Drosophila melanogaster: one gene and its partners. The gene in region 2 interacts genetically with the main gene of each other region. Each region holds a gene or a part of one and is shown on either strand. Other genes may lie near its edges.

Region 1 (7,759 bases), on a different chromosome or scaffold from region 2:
CACAACCAATATGTTTAGTGTATAATAAAGGTTAGGGATTTTATATTTTTTTAACATTATAAAACACTGGCTATAAAATCCTTAGAAATTGATTACTGCTAGTAGTTTAATGTTGAGAAAGTGATTTCATTGGTTGACTAACCTTTAATTTTCAAAAAATCGTAATAAATGTTGGGATTAGAGGTAAATAAAGTGCGCAAACTTTTCCTGAAACCAAAAACAATACTCCCAAATAAAAGCTTTAGGCGATCTGTTACTTCATCCCCATATACCCGCCAAACGTACAGAGTGCCTAATAAAAAAGTTTACTTGATTTCCGCTTCCATTTAATTCGATTTGCAGATACAGTCGACCGACGGACAGACATACAGATACAGATAGACAGATGGCGAGACAGATTGCGGCGATGTTTGTGTGTATTGCTAATGGGCAAATTGTCTAATTGGTTCATTACGTGCACAAATGGATTTGCGCCTCTATAATTCGGCCGATTTGAATCCGCCTTGGCTGAAAGGCTAAAAGGCTGAGTAACTGAATAACTGAAAAAGCGAGACCCCTCGAGACATGCGAATGGATTTGAGCCTCAAGCTAGCTGTGCAATTAGCGTTTGGCATCAATTCATATGCGCTTCATACAGCCGTGCATGTGTGTGTGTGTATTGTATGTGCACATCAACGCTTGCCAGTAAATGTCAGCTGCTCATCCCGCCCCCTCCCACAATTTTGCATTGCATTTCGCGTTTGCATTTATTTTCAGCAAATTAACGCCGCTCGCCGCGAGATCTGTGCCAATAAATCATTTGATGACTGCTCCCTGCCGCTTTAGTTTTGCATTTTTTTTTTTCTTTCTGTTTGTTGGGCTTCTGTCTCGTCACAGATATTTGTTTATACTACGCGCGGATTTGGCTTTAATTAAACGGAATGGAATCGAAGAGCAAGAGCTGCCGTTACTCGTCGACGGCCTCCGATTTTGGTTCGGAATGTGATTGTGCAATTAGCGGCACCCTCGCCCGACGACAAGTGTTCGTGATTTAATGTTCTATAGCCTTTGATGTGACAGATGAAAAAGCGTAGAGAAGATAATGGCGCCCTACACAAAGTACAAATAAGGCCACCGATTAGACCGCATGTCCTCCGATATATGGGTGGCATATTTTCCTTTAATGTAGCAGACTTCCAATTCCCAGAGGAAACCAATTGCATTTTAATTTTTTTCCATAATTCTTTTATTTTGTTTTTAATTTTCTTTTCATGAACTTGCTTTAGCACAAACATTTCGTTGTTATTTTCTTAGGTGCATTTGCCAGCTATTAGTTGCTCGTTAACATTTCGCTTAGAAACTAAAATACTCTTTCATAGCAATCCTTAAGTGTGTAAACTAGGAATTAAGCTAGGGAACTGTTAAGTTACTTAATTTACAGAGCGGTTGCAAGCGCGTAATTTATAGGGAGTAATAACTATAGATAGTGTTTTGTGTAGGAATAAACGTCTGAAGGTCGAAGCTTTTGAAGTGCGGCGATAGCGATAGGCTTTGTGTCGGGTGATTACGATAATACTTTCGGCTATCCAGGGGTGGTTAAATAAATACGCCAACAACTTACAGCTCGAATTCGCTACGGATGGGTCTTACTCTAGGTTAGGATTATACGTATATATATATATATTTTTAGAGATATATACAAAAACATATGTACGCTACAATTATATCACATGAAAACCATTTGTACGCCCTCGAATATTGCACGCCCCCGTCAGAAGGAGTAACCCCTTATGGGTAACCATTGGTCAGCGCTTAGGGGATCTGCCCGTTCATGCGCATCTCGAGCTCCTCCTCCTCCTTGGTCAGCGGCACGGTGGTGTGGTTGTACAATCCCTGGGCCATCAGCTGCAGTGCCAGCGGATTTTTGGAGCCCGTCGACTTCTTGATCTTGGCCCGCTTGTTCTGGAACCAGATCTTGATCTGCGCCTCGTTCAGGCCCAACTCGCTGCTCAGCTGCTGGCGTCTCCGCTCGGTCAGATAGCGATTCTCGTTGAACTCCCGCTGTAAGTGGAAGAAATGGAATGCTGGATGAGTTTCGGATGGCAAGGATATCCATGTTGTATAGTCAGGTAGGGAAAATCAATTATTTGCGGTTTCGGCCGAGCGTGGCTGATTGGTTAAGTACGGACGGGACACCACATTGCCAGGATGCATTAGCAGCGGGCGGTGTCAATATTTTGGTGCAAATATGACACAACAAGCGTAGGGCAATTGGATATGGATATGGATGGATATTGGTATAACCATATAACCATATATGGAAAAAAGAACTGAATCTCACCTTAAGGCGGGCCAACTGCTCGCTGGAGAACGCGGTGCGTGGACGCTTCTCGTCGTTGGTCTTGTCCTTTGGCTGTTTGGGGCGGCGGTAGCGGGGTCCTGGAATAAACAAAAACACGAGAAATACGTTAGTTCTATTTGCATAAATGCGCCACATACTATTAATAATATTAATGATTCAATTAGCATATGTCTGGGCGGAATTCCTCGGCCGGAGCTGGAGCTCCCTTTCGCGTGCTGGCGGGGAAGTGTTCAATTTGTCAGCTGTCAGCGCAAGAGAAGAGTAGAACTCCGGCGAGTTAACGAACCCAAAGGTCTACGGCATATTTTAGGCAAATGATTTGCCAGCTAGCCAACTCTCTAATTAGCGACTAAGTCCAAGTCACCGGCTAATTGGCAACGCGGCACCGCAGCAATCCGTAGTGCTTATTAGATTTCCACACATTGTAAATTATAATTTAATTGACCGCCAGTAAGTGGAGATCGTTTGATTAATTCCTAGCCGCGGAGTGGGGCCATCAACGCCTCGCTTATGGGCTGCCATCGATTGCATCGACACCAAATTAAAAAACCATTGCCGACCATAAAAAAGCACTTAACTCGTCAATTAACACACGATCTAAGAAGAGCTGCAAGGAAAATCTCCGCTTGTCAATGGAAAACTCTTCTCCTTTCGAAGGGGCTTCCCCCGCCATCATATCTCCCCCGCACCTACTTTTCCCCTGTCAATCGTCAGCGCGTTTTAGGGTCTCGGCTTCTGCGTGGCGTGTGTGCGTGAGCGGTGACCTTCGACCTGAGGATCTAACAGTTCCGATAGACAAGCGCTGGCTCTGCGCTACATGTTGTCACATAAAGTGTCGCTCTTCAAAAGCAGCGCAGCACTGCGTGAGGCCCAAAATCGGATTCGGATTCGGATACGAAATGGGAATGGGAATGGGCATGGTTATAGAAATGGGAGTCAGATTCGGGCTCATTGCCATTGTCCGCGTGTCGCCTAATTGTGGCAGTGTCCTTCGGATTTATGACACAAAACAGAGCTGCTTGAAAGGCTGCCGCCAACATAACGCTCCCCAAGGGTGGTCCCCATGTAACCATATACCATTTACCATTTTCACATCTTTTTTTTTTTAACGAACCTTTGGGACTTCCTTGTTTTGACAACACTGAAGATGGTGCCCGACGAACCCTCTTTCTGACCCACTTAAACGCTAGGTAATCGCATAGATACTAACCTGAGCTGGGACGATCGCTGTAGCGGGTGCAGTACACCCAGGCGGGCCACATCTCGTTCTTGCCGCCCTCTGTGGTGGTGGATCCCGTCTCGGAACGCGTGTCATCCGAGGACTCCATTCCGGAATCTCGGCTAACGGCGGATGGCGGCGGGATTGGCTGCGGCTGGGGACTGCTGGCATTGACTCCGGATCCACTGGCTCCCAGTCGGCTACTGGGCGAGGAGTTCAAGGAACTGGCCGCCGAGGAGCAACCCGACGAGGAGGAGCTCGAGCTGGTGGCCACGGAAGAGGTGCTGCTAATGGTCGAGGCATTGGAGGCGGGTGGCGGACTGGCCAAGCTGCTGGCACTGCTACTCAGCGGAGGTTGGGTCATCGTAGGGGCAGCAGGTTGTCCGATCTGCGAGACCGCCTTGCACAGGGATCCCAGAGCAGATTTCTCTGGATTGGCATCGCTCATCTTGGAGCTCATGGGCGGCGGGATGACGGCATTGGCTGCACTCCTGCGCAGCCGACTCTGCACGATTTCCTCGTGTATCCTGGGATAGGCAGCCGGATTGAAGCAGTTAAGGAAGTTGGCCCGTTCCAGCATCATGGCCGCAGTAGCGGCTGCGGCGGCAGCCTGCTGTTGCCGGCTAAACTCCAGCAGATCCACTCTTGTAAAGGCGGAGGGCGTGGCAGTCTGGGAACGACTCGCCTCGAAGGGGCGGAATATGCTGGCCTGGTTCTCCATCGACTTGCCCGGCTTCTGGACATCTCCGAAACGATCGCTCAGGATGTTGGAGATGGAAAAGGCCAGCGAGGGCTTGGCCGTCGACTGCTGCTGGTGGGCGGGTGGTGGCAGGCGTCCGCCCGCCGACGTATCATCCACATCCACATCAATGTCGTCATCCTCCTCCGCCTCCTCCTCCTCGTTGGTGGTGTGCGTCTGATTGTGGAAACTCATGTCACCGATCACGGAGTCGCTTTCCTCCTCCTTGATGGTCAGCGGCGTGGACGAGGCGGGCGTGGAGCAGGATGCGGGCGATCCACTGCCACTGAGGCGCTGCTGCAGTGCAGCAGCATGAGCGTGGGCGGCCGCAGCAGCAGCTGCAGCAGCGGCGGCTGCAGCGGCATCGAAGGCCATTGCCGGATGGTGGAAGACACCGGCGGCCAGTTGCTGTTGGTGCAACTGCTGCAGTTGCTGCAGCTGGTGGAGGTGCTGCATTTGCTGCTGCTGTTGCTGCTGCTGCTGTTGCTGGTGGTGAAGATGCTGCATTTGTAGGGTAATGGGGCTGGGCGCTGACTGTGGACTGCAGCGATCCTCCAGGGCCATTGGTTTCGACTTGGTGCTAAATCGCAACTCGCTTAAGACACTTGTCACTGGGTCACTTGACACTGAGCCACTGATTCTTCTGATTGCTCAGAATCTTCTGATTCTCTTCTCTGTTTGGTGTTTTTTGTTTGGCTTATGCTTTCGTGTTTGATTTGCAACTGTTGTTCCGACACGCACGTCTGTTCACATCGAGCGCAACGACTGAATTAGTTGACTACTTCGGAATCGCAGCGCCGACGTCGGGGAGAGTTAACGCGAGAGCCGATTGAACTGTCACGGTGGAAAGAGAGGTCCGAGTGCGGGAGCGAGAGGGCGAGATCCCACAAGTAGCTGGCGAAGTGTGTGCGAGCGAGCGAGTGAGTGAGTGACAGCAGTTGGTGACAGTGACATGAAGAGATGAGAGTAGAAGATGTGTCTTTTCGGCCTTACACTGATCGATTTTCGCTCTCTCTTAGCCTTGTCACCTGCCCCATGCGAACCGGTTTCGCCGGCTCACTCACTCCTATTAGCTGGCCAGAGCGCTCTCTCGCTCGCTCCCTCTCGCTCTCACTCTCTCTTGCCAATTTGGCGAGGGGGGCTTGTTAGGCAGCAATATGACTTTATTATGCGCATGCTGGAGCTGTCAGCCGGTTGACAACTGTGTCCCCAGCGAACTGCGCAGGCGCAAGCTCTCCCTCTCTCACGGGGCGTTACCGAGTGGGGGTCATATAGCGGCACTGTTCACTCCCTCTGCGAGTAGGCCAGGAAAATGGCTGCCTTTCCATGAGGGGGAGAGCCACATGCCATCTCTTTCCACAGACACTTTTCATAAGCATTTAGTTTTTGTTGATTTTGTTTTCGGCCGCGACGTTTCAATCTGCGTTTTCTACAGCCTACAACTTTATCGACACCACCTTTAGGCCATGTGTAGAGGGGGAATCGAAAGAGAGGAAAAAAACCGCAAAGCTAATTGTTTTAATTTAAATGAAGGGAAACTTTTTATCACCCCCACTCCCACCACCAGTATCATTTGCGATTTTTCACAAAAATACGCTAAATACACGATGACAATTTATTTTTGAGGCCTTCAATTAACCAGTTAAATGTGCCTTGAAAAACAGCTGACGAAATTGATTGATATTTAATTGACATTTAATTTATTTATTTGCCCATCGAATATCGATTTGCCAGACGAGCGAATGAAAAACCATCGCTAACTGTCAAAATAAACCTTAGAAGGTGTTAAAAACGAACGCCATTTGGCATTGGACATTAACAATAACGCTTTTTTGTGGGGCTCTAATCAACCGACGATCTACAAATGTGAAACATGTGCTGCAAATAGTGTATAGATGTGGGATTCCGAACATATAACCACTGATATATAGCTCATAAATCAACGAATCTGTTCGATGTGAATAAAACCGAAATCAAATAACGAAATCGCTAATGAATTGCCTTATAGCTAGCAGATTTTGTTGTGTTAATTTTTGCATAATAAAAGCGATCGTTGCCATGTGGGCTACTGATTTATGGGGCAAAGGATTTAATTAGAGAGTAATCTCGCCACCACTCACACTCCCACATTTCCTGTTGCCAATTGTGACATAAGCAATTCGCGCCAACAAACTAACGCCCAAACAATAAGCCATAATCCATATTTAGAGCAAATTTCGTGGTTAACCTGTTCCACAATCAATGGGCCGAAATTTATTCAATTTTTATGCGCATTTTTATAAGTATCAAATGGACTTGAATCGAATATAAATTAATAAATATATTTGAACAGCTCAGATGCATAAATTGAAATTCCGTTGAGTGGTCTTAACCGTTTCGATTCGATCTTAACCGGTTCGAACGCACCTTCCAGTCTGCGGTCAGCCATTAAAAGTCGAAGTTGGAAAAACTGGAAACTGGAACGGAGCCAAATCTATTTCCCCTTTTGAATTTCGAACTTCGAATAGATAGTTGTCTCACTCGCTCTCGCACTGTGCGCTTCTCGCTCACTCTGCCCTGCTCTCTCACGCATGACAACAATGGCTGCTGCCTCTCTCTCGCACACCCCCTTTGACCATCTTCCTCTTACACATTCCGCTGTTGCCGTCGGCAGCTGTTGATTTTCCGCTCAACTTCCACCCTTCCACACCGTTCCATTCCCCTACACACTTTCCGCTTTGATTGCCATGATTTTCAATTATTACCGTTGTCGTGTTTGCTCAGCATTTGGCCACGAAAAGGGTTAAACTGCTGCCGACAGTTGCGTAAAAATGCGTTAATTAAAGTTTTCAACTTGTTTCTGATGCTGCTGCTGTGGTTGCTATTGTTGCTGTGGCTGCTTTTGCTGCTTTCCCGTTTGCCCTTAATGATAATGATGCGTCTGTTTGGATAAAATGGTAACTGCTAATGAGCTTTGGCTTTCCACCACTTCGGCTACTGTTTCTGTTTCTATTTCTGTTTCGGTTACTTTTCGATCTCTAATGGCTTTTTCTCAGCTTCGTAGCTGCCGGCCAAACAAAAGACTCAAACAACGAACTTGTCAGGGTGCCAAAACATACCAAAGAAACACATTACGCTGCATGAAAATTTTCATTTTAATGTCGGTAGATTTATATGTGCGATCATATCAACGGAATTCAAATGATGAGAATATAAGATAACGTTGTTAGAGTCAAAAATGAATAGTAACACATAGAATATTAAAACGTGAATGGTTAGGAAATATATTAAAAACTACAACCTCAAAAAGACAATATAAACTATTTAAGATTTTGGTTATGAATTTAAATTATCCAATTACCTCAAAATTGCTGGGCAATAACAATGCCAATTGCATAAGGGACGTAATCACAGGATACAACTCAATTGTCGCACTGTGATTGAAATTAAAACTGGATCGAAAACTGGTAAAATTAAATGC
Region 2 (5,970 bases):
ATCTTTCGCACCTACCGAAGAGCAGACAGAAAACAATAACAAGCGCAGAAATTAAACAATCCCCTTAATATATAAATAAAGCCCGGTGATAAAAGCGCCAAAATACTATATAAACAGAAGATATACATATATCCACATGCGTGCCTCGTGAACTTGGCAACGCAATCGAATGTGTTGGGGCAGGACAAGTTGCCTCCGCGAATTTAATTGTCGAGCATTTCGTGTTTGTTTGCCTCTAAAGTCGTATGGTCAATAACAGATAACGAGCATTGGAAGTATTTACCAATGAATCAGCTCGAATACTTTTGCTGAAATTAAAGCTGCTTAGCATTGCGGGAAAGCGAAGATCCTAAAGTCCTAAGTATTATGTGCCATTTAAGCCATTCTCCTGGCCCATAAAGAAGCCACAAAAGCCATGGCAGTGATTGCAAGAAATACTTGCGGCCCTCGTGCGACCCACAATACGCATACGCCCCGTTGTACGGGCAATCGCCTTTGTGCCACCATTACCAATTACCACCACCAGTGGACATAAACCAGGCCAAACAGGTGAGTCGGTAAGCTGGTGAGCTGGTGAGCTGGCGAACTGGTGAGTTGGTGAGTCGATGAGTGGGGTCTGTGGGCATTTCAATGTCTTATCTTATCAGCTATCGGATTCTATCAGTGTGCCCTGCTTAGCAATCCGAGCAAAAATAAATACGTAAGAAGAGAAAATAGACGGGTGCTGCAGTTCCGCCCAAATGTCCAAGACTCTGGAGCTATGGATCTTTGGAGCTCTGGACTCGGACTACAATAAATTCAGTGCCCCAGCACCCACTTAGTCAATTTATTGCAATTATGTGTAAATTGAGGAACAAAGCGGAGACAGAAGTGAAGAAAGGCTACCTCCGATTCCCCATTCCCCCCATTCGATTCCCAGCGCTGTGGCTCTCACTCCCATTTCAATCATCTGCCAGTCGGTGTATATTCTTTGGCAGATCTGCTCGGCGTGGAAAGATGGGGAGCAGTGGCGAGGCCGAGGGGCAACTGAGTACATTTCAGTTTTGAATTGTATTGCTTTTGCCCATTGAATGACTTCTCAGCTGGAGCTTTTAACTTTCACTTATTCAAAATTGATAGATTTTTTTCGTCTCCGGAAATATTAACCAATTCGCTCGACTTCATTTGGGAAAAAATTGAATTTTTATTCGGATCTACGATCAAATGAAATATTTGACAAAGGCCAAATGCCAAATTAAAGTTAAGCTTCACAAAGTCATAAATAACATGCTGCCACAAGTGTTATTTGCATATTGTTATGTGCAACATTTTATATTAGACACACAAAGTTGTTCAATGCCAATAAATTGGACAATTGTCTTGTGGACACATGTGCTGGGTGTGCGAACAATGCCATCGAATTAACCCATTTATTTAAAGGCTATCCCTGTGGAATACACGTCCTGTCCACCGACAAGGACACTGCATAGCTCGATGGGGCTGCATAAAAGAGGGACGAACTCAACTGAGCACCGCTAAAATATGCACATGATTCACGGACTTGTTTAGGACCGGCACTGCCTTCATTTAAATTCATTCGGGGCGGAGATGGTGAACTGGTGTCCAGCTGAAAGCTGAATGCTGAATGCTGAAAGCTGGGGAAGAAAGCCGAAGTTACACACGTCTCCGGCGCCAAAGGACCTGCTATGCTGCCCTCCACCTCCAGCAGCACATCCTCCTTCGCTCCGATGTCCAAAGTCCAGTGTCCACTGGCCAATGTCCAGTGTGGCCGGGCAAAGACGTCAGCAGTGGGGCGGATGCCGCATCGGTTTCAATTTAATTAAATGTTTTGATGCATGACAGCACTGTGGAGCAGCACTGGACATACGGAACATACGGCACCCCACTCACTTATTACTGATTCGCATTCGTATTCGCTTAAAGATACCCATCCGTTCACGCCTGCCTGAATCTTTAAAGGCCGCCTTTTGGGGCCAACTAATGGCCTCGGATCCCCTCCTGCTCCTCCGCAAGCAATTCGCGCTGAAAGGATTTCGGTTTGCTCAGCTGACCGTCGGCAAAGCTTTTGTGCGGATGCGTTCATTTGGCCGCCAAACAGCCATTTATCCGGATCCAAAGACCCCCGACCACATCCGACAGCCCACATCCCACATCGACATGCCTAAAACCACAGGACTTTGCCTCCTCACTAATCATAGTTGACATTAAATATTTAGAAGCGGAGAAAGTTGTGCCAGCCACTGATTGAGTTAGATGATGTCTGGAATCTCGGAGGAGCAATTAAGTGTGCTGTTTGGCCAGCGGATTCACTTGAAAGCGCTTCACTTCGAATTCGAAGGAAAGCTGGAAATGGACACTTCGAGTGAATTAATTTTCTTCAATTAAAGTGGCAATTATGTCGGGAGTTCACAAGCGAAATACCTTCGAGGTAATGAATGCCTTGATTTGATTGATGATTTATACTTAAATTTCCGATTGATTGCAGGGTGGAGTTCATTTGGCCACAAGTACTTGATTAAATTCAATTAATTAACTGCTCAAACACTTAATCAAGTTTTAACATCTAACGAAGAGATACACTTTCGTTTGCCTTTGGTTTACATTTTTCTTAAATATCAACTGTGTATGAACTCTATAAAATCCAGCCAGGAAGTTTGCATGCATTTAAGGCTTCTATTTACGTTCCCCTTAAAATTAAATGGCTTAAAAAAAAAAACAACCAGCGCTGAAACGCCTTCGACCCCAAAATAAATACATTTGAAACACTTTGCTTATTTGCATTATAAACATCAGAGCTGGGCACATGTGAAAATACCCAAGGGATAAGCCAATGCGCACGGTTTTATTTTATTTTACTTTATTTTATGGCACAGGATGTACGGAATTGGTGCGTTATTTAAAAAGATTATTTCCATTCCGCCGTGGGCCTAAAAAACGCAAATCGCAATCGAATTAATTGTCATTCCAGGAGATTTGCTCTTCCGACCAGATTTCCGAAATCTGAGATCATCGGAGAACCTTTTCATCGGGCAAAGTCAATTGGGTGTGATGGTTTTTGGCCATCGGTTAACTATTTCTCAGCTCACTGGAGTCGTGGAACTCGTTGCTCAAATTGAGTGGAAAATCGGGATGAATGGGAATGGCCTACAGTTTGATCTTTCGAATTGGGTTAGTCACTTGATTAGGCTCTCGATGTAATTACATTTCGAGCTAAAGTTACCAGGGCAGCCGAAAGTTGTCCACAAATAGCAGTTTTCTAATTACTTTGGCGACTCGAATTTCCATAAACTTGTAAACCAATTTCGGTTTGGTTTGTGCAATAAACTTTGCAATTCAAGCCACCACCTCCCGAAAACAATGTTTTTGTAATATGGAAAAACAATAATGAGTGGAAAGAGAATGAAAAAAAAAAAACAAAATACTTTGGGCAGTGGGAGACCGCTTACCAGGAACTATGCTGAAATCCCCACTTCTTCGCTCGGCCAACGCGGCGTATGAGCAATGTCAGCCAATTGCAGGCAGCGAATAACAAAGAAATCGTATTTAAAAATAAATTCCGCTGCTCGCCTTCTGCTGCTCTGTGGTTTCGGTGTTTATGTTTATTAGTTTTAATCAAAACACCAATTTGTATATTCACTTTAACGACTAGTTTATCGTTTTTGCGTGTTTGCTCGCTACGAAATTGAATTTGATTTTCAATCCACTGGGCCGAATTCAATTACGTTTACGGATCGACTGCCGGCGGCATTTCAGCCAGCTCTAAGCTGATTTTCCAGCATTTTTCCAACACTTCTCCGCCAGCTTCAGCTATCACCTATCATCAGCGAATTTCAGGAACCGAGAACCCGGAGAACCGACAAGTCCAAAAAATCCGGACCCGTCGCCTTTTCAGTTCGAACCGTACGCGCGCGAGTCTGCCGTTGAACTGAACGGAAAGCGGAAAACTGAATGCCAGCCGGAATTTTCTGAGGCTGTGCGCGCTGATATGTCGGTGTTATAATAAGGGCCACAAAAAAGTGGGCGGTTTTTTTTTCTGCGGCGGGGGGGGTTCCCGTGGACCTCGGGGACTCCGGCCGCTTGTTGCATATGTTGGGATGTTGCACTGGGGACTAGGGCTCACGTAACCCCTTTGCGTTGAGGGCCTTTTATTTTATCGGAGCAATGAGCAACGTTTCCATTTGAAAAGCGTTGAAATCTGCGACGGAATCGAACGGAAACCCGCCCAAATTCACCAGTGTTGCCGAGTGTTTTCTTTCTACGCCTGCGCCCTATCTTTTCCTCTCGCTCTGCCTTCGTTCGCTCTCTGTTGTCATACGGCTATTCGTAAACAATCCGGACTCCGGCGATTCTGCCACGTGCACGCCACGCACAAGCGGAAAATCAAATGACCAAGATGTCTTACAAAATATACACACATATGCACAATGAATATATCGCTTCCAAAACAGCACTTTCAAAGCGTTTAATACCACATTCAAAGGAAGATGTTTATCAATACACTCGAATAATTTGTTTTAGGTTTAGAATGCATGTTTACAAATTCAATAGGGGTATATCATTGAAATAGATTACACATCTTGATTATCAGTGCAAAGTGATTTGCTATTTTTGCTAAGGTAGCCAAGTCCTAAGGCTAAAATTCCCATTTCCCATTAAAATTCCACTTTCCCAAGTGGAAAGGCTACGAAAAATTTTGGATTAATTTATCAAAATATAGAATGTAATACCTCGTTGAGCTCGTAATTGCATGCCTAATCGATTGGCATTCAAGTTTTGTTGATTTTGAAAAATAAATTTTTGGCCAATTTTAGCAAATTTTAATGATGGTACCCCTTATCAAATTTGCGAAAATTGGTCCAAAAATTAATTTTTCGAAATCAATTAAAAAGTGATTTGGATCGATTGCTTAGGTCACAGGCTCCAAAAAACATGTATAAAACTGACTGTAATTATGATTTTAGCCAAATTATGGGTATAAAACCGCAAATTCTCCTATTTTCCATACAGAATATGTCTCTATTTACATTTTGATAAAACAATTACAATTTTACAATTACCATACATACAAAGAAATTGTTTTCAGTGCAGAGCGTATGTTTGTTAGTTTTGGCCAAATGACTTGGCTCTTTCACACCAGACAGCCGCAGGTGTTGGTGGCTGATCTGGCCAAAAATGCCTAAAGTAAGCAATGAATCCGAAATGCCTCCCCCTCTTCGCCAGATTCGGACGTCTTAATTTGCTGGCGGAGATGGAATCCCGCAACTTCATCCGCTGCACATGCATCAATGTCCCATCAATCACTCCATTTAGTTGTAACAACTGAGCAACGAATGGGTTGCATGTAAAATGAGATGACCTACACCATGGTTTGGCACACATATTCGACTGATCCAAGATGAAACAAGTCAACTTAACTAGCTTAGGTAACTATTTTCCAACGCTTTGAAGGCGATGTCTCATTTAGATTATTTTCTCGTCTTACATTTTGTGGAAGGAGGATACACAGTGAAAGCAGGAGGTCATTAAATTTCTTTATCTCTCGCTGACGTGCAGTCCATTGAACACATCCATAATGATTATGATGGACCAAGTTGAACTTGGTGGCTCGCACCGAGCTGCGAGTCCGAGTGTACGCCTGCAATGGCCAATATCCCGAGCAGCTGGGCATCATTAACTATCTGCAAGGATAACGCTCGTTACCAGTGCCATGCCCTGCTGATGACCCCATTTAATCAACGCTAAGCCCGTCTCGTCCTGCACCTCATCATCATCATCCTTCCCTGCCGCCCCCGCCCCCTCGTTGACCGCCAGAATGATAATTTGTTTGTCAACATTATGCTGGCAAAATGTATATTTGGCTAAATACCAGCCAGCCCCGACAGCATGTGACGAGTGGTTTGATTGATGACCACCGCACGGCCGCTGGAAATTTAATTTTCCTTTTTCCCCAGGCTATCTGGTCGCGTATCC
Region 3 (9,009 bases), on a different chromosome or scaffold from region 2:
AATACTAAAGCTACCAAAATACATTCTCCATCACTTCCGGTCCTGGACCAGCTGTATTAATTGCTCCAGCTTGTACTCGATCAGCTTCAGTCGACTGTCGTTGATCTGTTCCTGTTTCCGCCTCTGCTCCGCCGCGTTCTTCTGATCGATTACCTCGAGGGCCCGTTTGACCACCCGGCCGCTCATCTGGGAGCACTTTCCGGTGAGCAGGGAACAGCAGCAGGGCAGAAGTCTAAGCGGTGGATCCAACAGCTTCTTCTGGGGCACTGCAGCACTCAGGGGCAATTGCTGAAAGCTAGCCTTCTTAAGGGTCCTCATTTCGAAGGGATCGCTCATTGGAATAAGCACTTTGTTTCCATCGTTCGGCAGCACGGAAATCTGACGCAGACTTAAGTAGTTCGGGTAGATGTTCATCAAACGTTGGCAGATGCTGCGGAAGAGATGGTTGCCCAACAAAAACCCAGCGCGTCCGTGGCCAGTGAGAACCTGCTCGTACCGACTAAGGACGTTGGTTCTGCAAATGGCTCCGTTCAGTTCCGCCTGAGCCTTAATAACCTAGATAATGAATAACGCCGGAAATGGGATTAGCGAAGGGAAATAATACGAATGGCGATAGACCTACTTGGGTGTCGCTCACTGCAAGACCGTTCAAAAGGTTGAACAGCACTATCGTCATAAAGATCACGAAGAGCAGGAAAATCAGGTAGGTGTAGATGCTGGTAAACTGGATGCTTCCGGCGTCAAACTCGCCTGTCAGCATCACAATGGTCTTGATCACGGCCTCGATAGGCTTGGTAAATGTGTTGAAGCCCTGTTCCTCGTCCTTCCCCTCCTTCTTCCCCAGAGGTGGACATGGCGTAGCGCTTTTAGACTGGTCTTCCTCCACTGACTTGCCGAAGAGGATATAGAAACACAGGCTGAAGGTGAGCACGAAGATCGAGTAGAGGGTAAAGCTCTTTAAGAAGCTGTTTGACACCTCTCGCAGCATCAGCATGTGCGTCGAAATTGAGAGCACTGGCAGGGAGCCCACTAGTAAACAAAACTCCATGGAGACGAGTAGGATGGTAAATACGGCTAAGACGCGCTGCGTCTCCTTGTCGAAGCTGGATTCCATGCAGGTAAAGATAGATAGTGTAATAAGAGCCACCTCCATAATATTCGTTATAGACCAAAAGTACCGAACTGGAGACATTATCCACTGGATGCACTCCCGTAATATAAGGTAGCTGATTCCCAGCCAGGAAAGCAATCCGAAAAATGCAGTAAGAGCCCTTTGATCGCTTTCGTGGAACTTGAGGAGCGTGTAGGTAATTATGGAGGCGGTAAAAAGCGAGTATATCAGGAAGTTCAGGTAGAATATCACGGAAAGTCGGTGCCACTTGAGGAATAGAAAGCTCGAGATCAGCGGGTGCTGGAGCAGGTGGCGCATCTCCTTCGACTCGGCGATGAATGCGATCGGGGCCATTTCGTCTTGCAGCTGGTTGAGTCCGGAGTCTCTCTCCTGGCGCATTAGGTTCTTATAATCGATGATGATCTCAAAGTTCTGGTCACCAGGCCTCTCTCCGTTTGTGGTGATACACGAGTCGAAGTGCTCTTCGAGAACCTCGGGTGGCATGTCCTTGATGGGTAGTGTGCCAAATGCGCTCTTAGAACCAATGTAGGCACCGTTCTTCAGGAGTTTTTGCATCGCACTCGTGTTGCGGTACTTAACAGCGAAGAACAGAGGCACCAGGCGTCCGGAATCAGCTTCGTTGATGTCTACGCGATCGCTGTTAATGAGCAATTCAAAGCAGCGCTGGTGGCTGGAGCCATCATACGGTGGCTCATCCAGACGGCCGATTACTGCATTTAGTAGCTTGGAGTCTGGAGTAAGTCGCAGGTTTGGCTCCTTAAGCAGTCGCTCCAACGCCTGCCAGTTACCGTATATCACGGCCGTCTCTACGAGATTGGCCTCGTTGGCCCTGCCTGGTCTCGAGTTGATATCCATGCCAGTGGACAAAATGACATCGAAGGCTCGCTGCCTGCCCCTCTTGATGCTCTCCTGCAGCAGTCCGAAGTATTCCTCCTGGTGGGCATTTAGTTGGTTATCCGCTCCGCCTTTGAGATTCTGCAAGTACTCAGCGAACTGCTGCTCAAACAGTGTTTCGTCCCCGTCCCGTAGAGTCCTTTGAAGAGTTTGGATGTCAATCTCCGGCCCGGTATGACGCTCTTCCGGCAGCTTAAGCTCCGGAAATTGCGCCTGCAGCAGTCTGCGCACCTCCCCGTTTCGGTAACTATCGATATCCAGCTCCGGATGGTCCAGAAAGAGCTGAATCAGTTCCTTCTTCCCAGCCTTCACCTTGCTCTTTCTCAGCACATGGTGCAAGGGTGTGAACTCGCCCTGGTCTACGATATTCGGCGAGGCGCCGTAGTCCAGCAAGAGTTGCATGCAGGAGTACACGTCTGGGGCATTTTCATCCGTGAGATTCTTGGCAAGTGAGTTAAGTGGAGTAAGCTGCCCATATTTTCTATCAACCTGGACTTTGTTTCCGGGGCGGTACTTAAGGAGAGCCGCCAGGTTTCCTGGATCCCTAGAGTCAGCCGCATAGCTGATTGCGGCCTTGTCCAGCTTCTTGTTGATCTGTGAAGATGAACTGTGGTTAGATGGTGTCCGACCTCTACTCCTTGTTGCTCTACTCACGTAGTTCACCTGGCTGCCGTGGTCGATGCAGGCTTCAATGAAGTCACGACAACCTGGTGTTGAGAGTGCCTTCTCGTAGATACTGGTATGGCGGTCGTCTTGTAGATCGGCCAGGGCACCGCTGTCCAGGGCAGCAACGAACTGTCGGATGTCCTGCTTGGCCAAAGCTCCAGCTAGCTGGGCCTGCGGATCAATGAAGCCGCAGTTGTTAAAGTCCATTGGTTTGGTCTGCAAAGAAAGAGCAGCCACGGATCGGATGAGCAATGTCTATGTGGGCTGGACTTCAGGTAATTCGCGTCGAATGAGTAACGTAAGCTGAAAATGAAGCAAGAACCCGCATTGCTCACTCAGGCCACTTTGTGACCCCACTAGACCTTAGGGCCTTGGAAGTCAAAAACAATAGGTTGGAATTGGAAGCTCTCGAAAAACGGCATTTGACATCGCTTCATGCTACGATGGTTTTCACATGGAGTGGACATGAGGCTGGAACGGAGCGAGAGAAAAAAGCTGCCCTACAGGTTTCTTCACAGCCAAATCTCCGTTTTGGGGGCAATTAAAGAAAGCGTCTTAAGTGGTTTCTGTGGTACCGAATTCGGTCTTAATTTGCTCCTCCGTGTAGTTATTAAATTATTACAATCCATGCGAAGACAAGACAAGGTCGGCGGTGGACGTGGGTACTGGAGCCCCCAGTACCAGCAGTGGCGGCGGTCGGAGTGATCCACTAAATTTGAATCAGGTTTGGTGCGGGTATCAACGTCTAACGATCATAAAGAATAATCATAAAATAATCGACACATCAGTATCAATTAGCAATCAATTTGTTGCGCTTTACGCTTTGATAACTCTTCTAGATGGGGCTCGAATGGAGCCTGGGGGCGACTCAGGCAATGGGGGCGCCGAAATTGTGAGATTTATAGGCGGCTTTGTTCGTAAATTTCAAGGCGGCTTCTTCTGGGGGATTCTCGTTTCCACAGTGATACTGACCGCTGTGATACTTGAAATGTGTGAGAAATCTGCTAATCACACTCAAGACCTGGCTAATTTGAATACGCCACTTCTGATTATTTATCAACAGCCGAAGAATTGGTATTCAGGAAACATATACCCGACCCATCCGTTGAAAACGGCTAATCAGTCCAAGTTTTTTGGCTTGGCAAAAAATTGGGTTTTGTAAATGACCCCCCCCAGGTGGGAAGGTCGGCCTGATAAGATAAACAGAATCGCACAATCATCTTCTCTAATTGGCTTACTGTTTGGCCCCTCTGTTTGTGTTGCGTATTTGGCCACTAGGCTATTTGTAAAACCAATTGACAAACAACTTTATTGTTTGCCCTGCTCAGGCCCAAAGTCTTAGGCGACAGTTGACAGAATGGCGTAATCAAACTTAGCAGAACCGCCATTCAGAAAGAGCCGAGTGAACCGGGGGACCGATGTCCCCGGGATGTGGAATGCACTTAGAGACTGCCAAAAGAAAACCCGTCGATCAGGTTTGCACAGGAAAAACAACAAGCAAGCAAAGACTAACATTTAACGGAAGAAGTGCACAGCTCTTAGCAAAAATGTTAAAATGGTATAAATGAAAAATACCATATTGGGTTCATACAACTCAATATATAACTCAATACAACACAATAGAATAGAGAAGTTACAGAGCTTCAGCTTACAATTGACATGCCAGTCAAATATTAGTCGAGAATATATTCTGATTTTCACAAGAGGGTAGATAAACTTCGGCTCGCCGATAACATTCTTTCTCGCTTTCTCTTCTGCCTGTCACTTAATCCAAATTAAACCCAACAAGAGGGGATCGGAGGGATAGTCTGGAAAATGTCGGAAAGAAGGGAGTTCGCGACACCGACAGCTGGATATGCAACAGCGCAGATAATTATAGTCGCTTCGGATTCAAACAAATATCTGAGGAATATTAAAATCGCGTGTTCCTTGTTTATCATGTTGTATACGTACGTGCCAGAACGAATGGAGTGCCAACATTTCGGCTATATAGTGACCTTATAGATTTTCATGGAGTGGGCGATTTTGAAATACAATAAACTAATTTACTTGTCCATAAAGTCCGTTTATTGGCAACGAAAGACTTTGTTCGCTAAATTTAATGCTCTCTCTGCACTTAATGAATAACAGACGATCGTTCGGCTGTGTTTACACTTGAATTGGAGGCTGGAAAAACAAGGGAAATAGCCAGAAACACAAATTCTTTGAAAATGCTTAGGAGTGGCAGAAAAACAGCGATCGTGATTGGGGACAACAGTCCACAACTGAAGTTTTTTTTTGTGTAATCAACTTTGCAAAGCTCAGCCCGAAATTGTCATCGTAAAAAAGTCATAATTAAGATGGATGCGTGCGGAGATGGGTCTGCAGATGTGGATATAGATGTGGATGGGGGCTGACTTCATGGTGAAGTGAGCTTGTGAAGCATCCGCGAAAAAACAACAGCGCCAGAATTTAGTTGTATTCGGAAAAAATGTTTAAGCGAACAGCCCACAGACACATGAGCAATAGCGAAAACACGAAAGTGGATACCCCTGCCACATGGAGATCAGTGCTCTATATACCCACTGTGCACTTCATAAACAATTGACTGGCCCACATCGTGTGCACAACAAAAGATTTGGGAGGGGTGTCCGGAGTGGGGAGACAGAGTCTCCGCTCCGCACGATTCAGTAATTTCAAATAATTTAATTAAACACACTCGGACGTACGTAGTACATGTGTGAGATCAACTCAGAAACACACACGAAAGCTAATTCGTGTGCTAGATGGACGGATTCCTGAACCGAAGGAATCACCACCTACCAATCGGTCCAAGCAACTCAAGCCCCTCTGCGCCCACGCCCCTGTGTCCCACGAACAGTAGAAAACGAATACAAAAATTAGATGGGCGGAGCCAAATCAGCGAGCGAATGAATTCAGCCGCACGGTTTTTGCAGTCGTAAGTAGGCTGGAGCGCGGGCTCCAGAGGAGGGTCCTAACATGCCGCATAACGCCTAATCGATGGATTACTTAATTGTAATTGGCAATAAAAAACGCATATTAAGCGCTTCTGGAGGGGAACGGAAGCCCTGTACGCCTAAATTCGATGCAAATGTCTGTGCTTGGGGGAAACTGTCGCCAACCCAGTTCCGAGTTGGGTAAACATGGGCCTCTATCGGCTCGTCTTACACGACATTTTCTAAACTCGCCGGGTCAGCAATAAAACTATACGTTTAATTCGTATTTGGGAATGGTATCACAATCCGAGCACTTCACAGAAAAGTGGACACGGCGGGAGTTGCCTTTTAGGGCATATTCATTATCTGCCCACCAGGCATTTTAAAATAGTTTTTTTAAAAACTTCGATGACGTCACAGGTCGCATATATGTAGATTTCAAATTAATCATTTGTCAAATGCAATTCAATCAATTTATTAGCTGTTCTGGCGTCATTAAAACAAAGCTTTTTTTTAAATTTTTTTTCGATTGCGCCGTGGGCGCCGTTTTCTGCAGTTTCTTAACCTTGCTTCGTTAAATGTTTTAAAACTTGTTTTCACTGCTTATGTTTTTGTTGTGTGGGTTGATGTCGAGATCACTTTGCAACTGCGGTTTCAGATCTGCATTACACATGATTCATTCGCAGTAACTAATAAAACGTCTTAACTTCCCCGCGAGTCATCGTCTTTAAGTAAAGGTTTGGCGCAACCCCGGTCTTATTTGCATAGTGAATGAGATGACTCATTGACCCATTGAGATCTTCCTCGGGCTTTCAAAAACTGTTTTCAAAACACTTCTCAGCGCCGAAGCAAATAACGCATGACACTAATGCGCGATCACTACCTTCCTCGTTAATATCCAGACAACGACTAATCTGATCCGTGAAAGCGACCGCAGTGGCGGGCACTTTACAGAAATTTAAATTTAACAGAAAGCTAACAGGGGCCACACAGAGCCTGCATATCGATCGATAACTCTTTTGTCTCGTGAGCTTAGAATTTGAATGGCAGATATATGGGCACACTTGTGGAGACTCTCCGGGCGCATTAAAAAATAATGGTAAATTTTTCGCAGTTAAATGTGTGCCGAATAGCCAACTAATAACAAACGGCTACAAGTGATTTAAGATACTAAATATTCTATTCATTCCACTACATCTGTCGGCAATGGAACATCATCCTTAATTTGGTACAAAACCGATTCAGATCTGTAGAGTTTGGGACTCGAGTTGGATTCCTCGTCTCATCTGTATTTTTACAAATTTGTATAACTTCAAGATAGTGCTAATAAAAATAACCTATACAACAGTAACTCACAGTAACAGTAAATTGAAATCAAATAGCCTAATGTTTAAAAATTTTTATTATCAACGACTTGCAATAACAAGTTTACGTATACAAAACACCTGAATATTTTTAACAAGATTTTCTTACAAACCCTTTCAAAGGCACATGAAATAAAAGGTACAAAATGTTAAAAAAGCAACTGAAGAAGAATGTTATGTACTAGAATGGAATACGCTTCTAAATAGGTCAACTACTCTCAGTTTTTGGGAAACCCAATATAGAAGGCCTGAAATTATCATCGTTTTGCAAATACGGTCCAGGACATACATGCTGGAAAACAAGAGCATTGGTTAAACACTATAGATGGAAATAACAAATTACTTACAATCTCAATTGTATGCGTGATTTCGGCAACGAAGTTAAAGGTTCCTTCATCACATACTGACGGCCACCCAAAATACTGACTTTCATGTACTCATAATCGTCGACATCGTCGGTGTTAATCTTAAATCTGTCGTAAATAAAGTTACGTTATAAATCCATTTAATGCATGAATTCATCTATTGAATGCATATGATATATATTGCTTACATCCTCCGATCTGTGGATCCTAATTCCTTGTAGATCTGCTCGAAGTGTGTGGATTTAAAGTCCCAGCTTCGCGTGGTAAAGAACTGCAAAACTTCCAAACCCACAGCGATTTTGGTTTGAACCCGAATCATGCTAGACAAACAGAAAAGTTTTGGGTTAGATTCTTATTCGGAACTGACAAATTCTTTTGAAGGTTTTACAAGCGACGTTGTCCAAAGATCAGGAGTAGGAAGTCGATAAGGTAGGCTGGCAGCCACATAAACAGAATGGTACAGATGGTGTGATAGAATTTGCTGGACGTCATGTTGCCGTCGGGATACCAGAGTCCCACTTCGAAGGGGTACTTAATGCCCAAGTCGCGACCCACATCCATTATCCATTTCCATGTGCGCTTTTTGGCATCGTCCACGGTCAAGTTGTAGACTGGGATCTGAAGAGGTCTGTGGCAGAAGTTATACATCACATTGACATGGGAGGCGTCTGAAAAATTTACCTCTTCTCCGCAAGACTGTTATGATATGGTAATAAGATAAGACCGTTAATGGCGATGTCCACAGGTATCACTTCAGATTTTAGCTCCCCGTTGCAGATCATGGATCGGATAACTCCTTTGCCGGCGCCAATGAGAACTCCCGTAGGTCCGTTCATATTGTCCACCCAACCTGGCAGAGGCTCAGCGACAGCTGGAGTTACTGGAGAACAAAGTACAGGTCAGTATGGTTAGACACAAAGTCTGCTTTAGTGACTGGATTGGGAAAGAGAAACACGGCGCAGTTGGCGAAATGTGTATATTCAACAACCTACAATCATATTTATTTGGATTCAAAACCTCGAATATGCGTAACTACAACTAAGCTAATTGACTAAATAAATGCCTGTGACCACCAAACCAATGCAAGTCCACGGAGAACTAGAATCAGAATATAGCCAGCACCCCCGTCCACTTAAGGAGGTAGTAGAAGAACAGTCCCACAATCACCGTCTTGCACACAACGTCTACGACTCGTTGGCTGGAAGTGAAGATGAGTGAGTCATAGTGGGTAGCACAGGCTCTTGCCTAACTTACATCTTCATGTGCACGCGCGCAGTGGGCAGATCCTCCTCCTTTTCCTTGAGGATAAACTTTCGAGCGCCCTTAGCACACTCAATCATGTACTCCTCCTCGGTGTTCTCCGTGTTCATGTTCATGTTAAAACTGAATGGGAAATTGATATTGATATGTTAATATGTTAATATTCAATAGCAGCACTTACATCGCCTTGTCTTCCTCGTTGAGTTTGTTCCAGAGGGAGGCGTAGTTATCAGATCGGAAGCACCAGGCATTGAGGGTAAAGAACTGGAGGACGCCCAGACCTGTGGATATCTTCTCCTGAACTCTCAACATGCTAGGGAGGGAAATGGCACATAAGCTCCATTTGGGGTAATTCAGTGCGGGGCAACTTACAATCGCTTCTGACCTAATAT
Region 4 (6,764 bases), on a different chromosome or scaffold from region 2:
ACCACAATTGTGGCCTTCAGGTGGGATTTTCAATGGAATTAGCGAGAGAAAATACCATTATAATTTCTTATTGAATCATTGCAGGAACGAGGGCAAGGACTCGCGCATTGCCACCGTGGTGATCCGTGGAGCTACCGACAACTTCATGGATGACATTGAGCGTGCCCTGGATGACGCTATTAACAACTTCAAGTGCCTGACCCGGGATGGCCGCTATCTGCCCGGAGCTGGCGCCACCGAGATCGAGTTGGCCACCCAGCTGTCCGCCTATGCTGATACTCTGCCTGGTCTGGACCAGTACGCCGTGCGCAAGTTCGCTAATGCGCTGGAAGTTTTCCCCAAGGCTCTGGCCGAGAACTCCGGCATCAATGGCACGGAAATCGTCAACCAGTTGTATTTGGCCCACAACAACGAGGCCGGAAAGACAATCGGCTTCGACATTGAGGCCGAGAAGGCCAGCACCATCGACACAACGAAGGCAAAGCTCTTCGATCTGTACCAGTCCAAGTTCTGGGGTCTCAAGTACGCTGTTGGCGCGGCCGCAACCATCTTGAAGGTGGACCAGATCATCATGGCCAAGCGCGCCGGAGGTCCCAAGGTGCGACAGGCTGCCGGCAGCGATGACGAGAGTTAAGCGGCTCCTCTGTGATTCGTACTCCCTACTATAACTAGTTTCTCCCGCTCCCACAAAGAGTGCATTGTATTTTCATAAACGAGTCCCATGGAAATTATAAATTTCATTAACCACTCTCACACTCACCCACATACACAGCCATGCACACAGTTTCTTGTATTAATAAACTTAACTTACGAAAACTGAACTGAAACGCGTGATCCTTCGGGGGCCTTTGAAATAAAACAACGTGGTTTTCGCACCGAACCCGGTGCCACCGCTAGATAACGAATCTAAGTAAGTTATCGCTTTTTATTTTTGAAATTTAAGCAAACGATTATTCATTTTGTTGAGTACAATATTTCAAATGCTTATTCGCAGATACATTTCAATAATATTTGTGAGGACTCGTCCCCGTTTGCATCGCAAAAGAGTTGTATTAATTTTCGAATAAAATACGATCTCGTTGTCGCTTTTCATTTGAAGTGAAAGGTGTTAAAGTGTATTCGATGACCATGATTGATTTTGAGTACGTGTGCATCTAATGCCCTTCCTTTCCAAATGCGATTTACCCTCTATGGATAAGTTATAGAAAATGACACATCTGAGGACGAAACCAAACCATCCGTGCTCCATTGGGTGGTTCGGCTGTCCTCGGGCTAATAACATTCAGGGATAACTAAAAAGTTTGGATGCAAAGTGTCCGTTGGATCGAAAACTGTTGAATGCGGAATGTTTAAGCAGAAACTGGGAGGACTCCCGTAACCGACTGCAGTTTCGATTGATAGGGCGGCTCCCATGAAAGCCTTTCGCAATGGCGGCTTTGGACCACATTTTGCTGTTTGCTCACGACAGCAAACTGGAGCTCAAAACCTTTTATATAGGTTTCCGAATAGAAAATGCCGTCTCCAAAAACGTGTGATTCTTGGTACTAAGTAAACGTTGTCTGAATTTTGCTACGTTAGGAACTAAAATCACCGCCAATTCAAAAACTCTTGTTAAATGCAATTTTGGAAGAACCGATCAAATAAACTATACCTTCCTCATTCCCATCCACACTGAGCTGGCGACTTGGACAGTTCGTCTCAGCGGGACGAGAATCGTAAGTTCGGGATGCAATATGTGTGTATGTACGACTTGGTGGGTGTATGCTGATATCATACGCGTGCTCTCCCTACAGGATAATCATTGCGTCTATCATTCCAATACCGAACAAAGGTGCCCTATGCCATGTTAGTTTGTACAAAAATAACTTGCTTGTGTGGTTACTTTTCTCTCATGCCAATAACACTTTAATTAATTGCGCTCAACACGTTTACATATATGATTAGAATGGATGCGTTTGAGGAGGAAGAATCACACATTCTTCTCGGCATTTTCGCCAAACTAGAGAAACGGACAGTTTTCGAGTTTCTGAGGACATCTGTGTGTTGGTTGTGTTGTTACGGGAATGAAATAAGTTATTGGTCTTGCGAAACTTTTTGCTATCATTCAATTGGATATCGGCTTGCTACGCCGTAGTGAATTAAAATGAAGAAACTATGCTAAGAGACAAATATTGATTACATTTTGAAGTTATTTGGTATTATATATGCTCTTGTCGCTTATTGCAACGTTCGTTATATACTTTGACTAAGAAAAACTGGATAATAAACGCACTAAATATTGCGATAAGTTCAACTAGCTGGTTGTTGTGGGTAGCATTTCTGCTTCGTGTTAAAGCTTTTAAGTAATTCAATAAGATATTTTCGTACATTTGTTGTTTGTGGTGTCGTTCCACCCGCTGGTGGTTAATAAGCTTCAAAATACTTATATTTTCAATACAACTTTTCCTTCTTACACTCGCCTCGTTCGTTATCTTCTCAATTTTCAACAAATACAACAGATATTTCTCGAAATAAGAAGGCAAAATATAACATATGTATTTCCGTTTCGACTGAGTTTGCGTTTATTGATAAATTTGTATGTCGGATTAAGTTGATAGTTTTGTATATATAGAATTTCGGGTTAGGTAGAGTAGTAGGTGCTATAGTCAGCGCATTAATTGTCGTTATAGTTGGGATATTCGTGTACATTAACTGCGTTACTCATCGGAAAGGAAACAACTCTGATATCTTTGGAACAAATGCTTCGATTTAGATTTAGATATAGATTTAGGTTTGACATTGAGTTTGTGTTTCTGGTTTCGGACATTACTTGTTAACGTGGCTGGTACACATTGATATATCGATTCAAATATATATATATATTCCTCGCAATTGGAATTAGAATTGGAATTCAAACTTCTTGTAATGATATTGCTTATGACAATCGTAGCTTTTGTGGCTTCTGCACAACTATATATTGTTCCAGGTGGCGTTGATACTGGTACTGGGGTAGTACTCCACACACGTTTGCGTCCTAATCCATCTTGCTAAACTAAAAATAAGCTAAACGTCCGCCGGCGATCGCTGACTCCTCGGCAACGGCGGACCATCCTCACCGCCTCCTTAGAGAACGGTGCAGGACGACTTCTCGCGGAAGGGATTCACCTTCTGGCTGGTGAACCCGGTGAGCAGGTAGTCCTCCTGCTCGTGCTCCGTGATGTACTTCATCATCTTAGCGCATGACTCCGAGATCGTCTGGCGGTCGATGGCAGCCTCGCGACGCAGCTGCTCCACCACGACGCGCTGCTGCTGCAGGGATGATGACATTACGTCCATGATGGCTGTCTCGGATAGGCCTATGGTTGAAAAGGTTCTCAGTGTTACGGATACTGGGAAATGCAATTACGGGATAGTGGATTTGGGGTGGTGTGCTTGGTTGCTAGTGCTTGTGTGGCTTCGCCGAAGGGCTTGGTCTTTGATCTTTGGCTTTGGCTTATCTTATCGTATGATTCTGGGAATACTGGTTTGGATGGATCTTAATGGCTGGCTGGAAATAACAAGTTGGTTATATGTAGTTTAGATATCTCATTCTTTGTACAGGCTTCCCCATACGGGCACAACATCGAACAGGCGACACAAAGCTATAACATATGTGTACATTTTCGCGATTCTAGACAGAGATAGTTGGTAGATTGGTGTAGTTTAGTCAGTGTTTAGTACTAGGCGGGAAGTTAGGATAGCTAGATAGTGAGTCACACTACGCATTAACATATGTGTTATTTTGTGGCACATGTAAAGAACCGAACGCAGGCATTGGTTTCATCGATCGCATTGCTGATTAACTTTCCAGCCGAACTGGAAGCCTTGACGCGAACAAGTGCAAGGTTATTAACTGACCCCAAGTGGGCGTGGTGGTGGGCGGTGGGCGCTACTTGTGCCAGCACATGGAGAACCCGAGTTGTGTGCAAAAAACACTGCTCAACTCGTTGGGAACACCGAAAATTAGTTTTTTATGCAGAAATAGTGAAGGAGAACACACACACAAACACACGAAGGCGTACTGCGCCGTGTGGTTAGCAGAGGGATTATAGTGGAAAAGTGAAGTTTTCGACGGATGCACACACAACACATAACTATATTTGCACACTATTTGTTAATTACCAGCTCCGGCTTATATGTTTTTTTTTTTTTTAAATCTCGAACTCTACGGGCTAAAATCGAGCAAAGTTGACGAATAAAAGTGGATACACACCCAAACTAGTGATGTGCCGCGCGGCGATAGTTCGGGTGCGTGAGCGCACCCGCATACCATCGCTAATATTCGCGCAGAAAAACATACAATACGTATCAGTTTTTAGTTCCATGCGCTCTGCAAAATGATGGCCAAGGACAAGGGTCTGGCTGTGGCCGGAACGGCGGCCCCCTTACCGGCCGCCCTCGACCACGAGTGGTCCGCCGAGGAAGAGCTGCAGCTGTTCCATGCAATGGAAGGCCTGCGCCCGGTGGGCATCAACAAGCACTTCTACATGTCCTGCATTGTCCAGCGTCTGTCCAAGTCGCTGAACCGTGAAATGCCCAGCGAGCTGATCTGGCGCCACCTGGGCACCATGTACAAGCTGAAGGAACTGGACGATCTGGAGTCGCTGCCCTTTCCCAACGAGGAGCGCGAGTTCAGCCTGCCGGAGCAGGATTACGGAACGCTACAGACCAAAAAGACGGTGGAAGTGCATGCCAACGAGGAGGCTGCAGAGGCACAGTCGGCCCCTCCAACAGCAGAGACCAATGGCAAAGGTAGTTCGTTAGTTATCATCAGGATTCATTCACTTGTAATGTTGTTTTACAGCTCCACCTGCAACCAAAACGCCGGTACCGACGAATTCCACCAAGGACGGCGACAAAAAGCCCGTCGCCAAGCCCCAGGAGCAGCTGCCCAAGCGTCCGGCCAAGCGCACACGCGGCTCCATGTCCAACGAGTCCATCAGCCCCTCCACTACGCCGCCGCCGGTGCAGAGCAACAAGCGCCGTCGCATATAGGTGACCCCCGCCCGAAACTGACGATTGTTGATCCGTTTTAGCTCATTAGTTTTACTGTACTCTAATAAAAGGATTTATTCTTCGAAATCGTTGTCCTCCTCGTTGGAGCCGTTCCCGTTCTCCTGCGCCAGAACCTCGGTGGCCTGCATGTTTTCCAGGAGCGATTTGAGAAGGCGTCGGTTGAGATGGTCGGTCTGCGTCAGTTCCCGGACTGCCTGGGGCGGAGCATTCTCGTCTGCCGGTGCAGGGCTGTTCTCAGCTGGAGTCGGAGTCTCTGCCATGGCTTTGATGTGCTCCAAAACAGGCATTTTTCCCCCGAGAAATTTCAGCTTTTGCTATGACACACAGTCCGCTGGGTGACTCGTGCACTTGGAAACTTGGCTAAGTGTAGGGTACACTCGATAAAGTATCGATAAGTTGGCGTTTTACGTCAGCCCTAGTTCCACCCCTAAGTCGATCGACTTCCAATTGGACAGATTCTCCCGCTCGAATTTAATTTAATCGGCAAATATAAACAAATACGCTCCAAATGTTTGTTCCCGAAACGGAGGATATGCTGCCCAGACTAGCGCCCAGGCCGAGTGCAGCAGTGCCCATGGGCCACACCAATGAGATTATAGGGCCCACCGTGCCGGAGGTATCCATATTGTTTGGCCAGCCGCCGCAGGATCCGCAGATGCAGCCGCAGCAGCCAAATCATGCACATCAGGAGTCATCCCCTCGTGCTGCACCCACCTTCGCGTCCTGGAAGAAGCAAATGCTGCCCAGGGTCAACTTTTCGCCCATTTTGGCCACAGAACTGGGTCCTCGCACCGCTCCCAGCAGCAATAGTCCGTGCTCCTCGAAGGAATACCAAGTAATGCCCCGGGATCGCAACTATGCAAGCGATGCGCAGCAGACTACCAATCATATGAACTGCAATGCTGGTGGCTATAATGCCGAGCCCAAGCAACAGGCATATCAATCTAGGCGCTTGTCCAGCTCCTCCAACGCAGATGTCCTCACCATCTGTGCTGGCACACAGACCGATCCCTTCAACCCATCTCCTCCGCGAAAATCACTGCCCCAGGTTGTCTATTCCGACATCGACGTCAGCAACTTGGCCAATAAGAGTGATCTGGCGGCTCTGGTATCCCTTGTGGAGTCCGTGCGCCATGAGCAGCAACAGCTTCGGAATCTCTGCGAGATGATTTTGGAGCAACAGCAGCGAGCGAAACCCGAAGCCATTTCAAAAGCCAGCAGTACCACTGGCACCCAGTGCGATATTCTGACCACCAATCAAGGTGCGTACGTTGAATCTGTATGAAAAGAATCCAATAAAACATCCTTCCTAGCAGGTAGACGCTTGTCTCCCATTATGCAGGATTACATAGCAGAGGAGGAGGAACCATTGCCGCCGCCACAAGCACGAGTGATTCCTCAGTTTCCGTCTCCTCGACCACATCCGCCGATCGCCCAATCTACGGGCTACCGGGCCAATACGCCTCAGGCGAAGCGGATCCCTCAACTGGCCAAGCCCAACACCGAGAAGAGCATGGTGATGAACGAGCTGGCGCTGAAATACTTGCGCCAGCCAGTGGATGAGTTGATGAAGGATATGCGCCTGGGGGCGTCGCCGAAGTCCCCTAATCCAGAGCCACTGCGTCCGATCGACAACATAGGCCACGCGCAGAGTCCAAACGACATATCCAATGCTTCGTACAAGTATCTCAAAAAATACCGTCTGCTGCCCGAGGAGCAACTGGAGCCGG

The links.
Region 1: of TkR99D (region 2) and en, changing one suppresses a phenotype caused by changing the other (phenotypic suppression), as found in Drosophila melanogaster (one study listed by BioGRID).
Region 3: of TkR99D (region 2) and pain, changing one suppresses a phenotype caused by changing the other (phenotypic suppression), as found in Drosophila melanogaster (one study listed by BioGRID).
Region 4: of TkR99D (region 2) and Ggamma1, changing one suppresses a phenotype caused by changing the other (phenotypic suppression), as found in Drosophila melanogaster (one study listed by BioGRID).

What each region holds. Positions count from the first base shown.
Region 1 is NT_033778.4:11,522,808-11,530,566, forward strand, and holds en (engrailed), read right to left. Parts: upstream 5,404-7,759; 5' UTR 4,864-5,403; coding exon 3,552-4,863; intron 2,419-3,551; coding exon 2,321-2,418; intron 2,041-2,320; coding exon 1,792-2,040; 3' UTR 1,199-1,791; downstream 1-1,198. UniProt on the Drosophila melanogaster protein: This protein specifies the body segmentation pattern. It is required for the development of the central nervous system. Transcriptional regulator that represses activated promoters. Wg signaling operates by inactivating the SGG repression of EN autoactivation.
Region 2 is NT_033777.3:29,965,537-29,971,506, forward strand, and holds the start of TkR99D (Tachykinin-like receptor at 99D), read right to left. Parts: upstream 3,912-5,970; 5' UTR 3,447-3,911; intron 1-3,446. UniProt on the Drosophila melanogaster protein: Receptor for tachykinin-like peptides.
Region 3 is NT_033778.4:24,921,734-24,930,742, forward strand, and holds the start of pain (painless), read right to left. Parts: upstream 6,543-9,009; 5' UTR 6,512-6,542; intron 2,909-6,511; 5' UTR 2,900-2,908; coding exon 2,681-2,899; intron 2,621-2,680; coding exon 623-2,620; intron 556-622; coding exon 31-555; 3' UTR 1-30. Other genes in the region: CG30427 (uncharacterized protein), read right to left, coding at 7,167-7,284, 7,340-7,465, 7,546-7,677, 7,746-7,985, 8,039-8,237. UniProt on the Drosophila melanogaster protein: Receptor-activated non-selective cation channel involved in detection of pain sensation due to high temperature. Involved in heat nociception by being activated by noxious temperature of 38 degrees Celsius.
Region 4 is NT_033778.4:8,898,899-8,905,662, reverse strand, and holds Ggamma1 (G protein gamma subunit 1), read right to left. Parts: upstream 4,231-6,764; 5' UTR 4,141-4,230; intron 3,527-4,140; exon of another isoform or gene 3,336-3,526; 5' UTR 3,316-3,335; coding exon 3,103-3,315; 3' UTR 872-3,102; downstream 1-871. Other genes in the region: CCT8 (chaperonin containing TCP1 subunit 8), read left to right, coding at 1-20, 85-634; MrgBP (MRG/MORF4L binding protein), read left to right, coding at 4,356-4,770, 4,823-5,013; CG13751 (uncharacterized protein), read right to left, coding at 5,088-5,321; ana2 (anastral spindle 2), read left to right, coding at 5,543-6,296, 6,348-6,764. UniProt on the Drosophila melanogaster protein: Guanine nucleotide-binding proteins (G proteins) are involved as a modulator or transducer in various transmembrane signaling systems.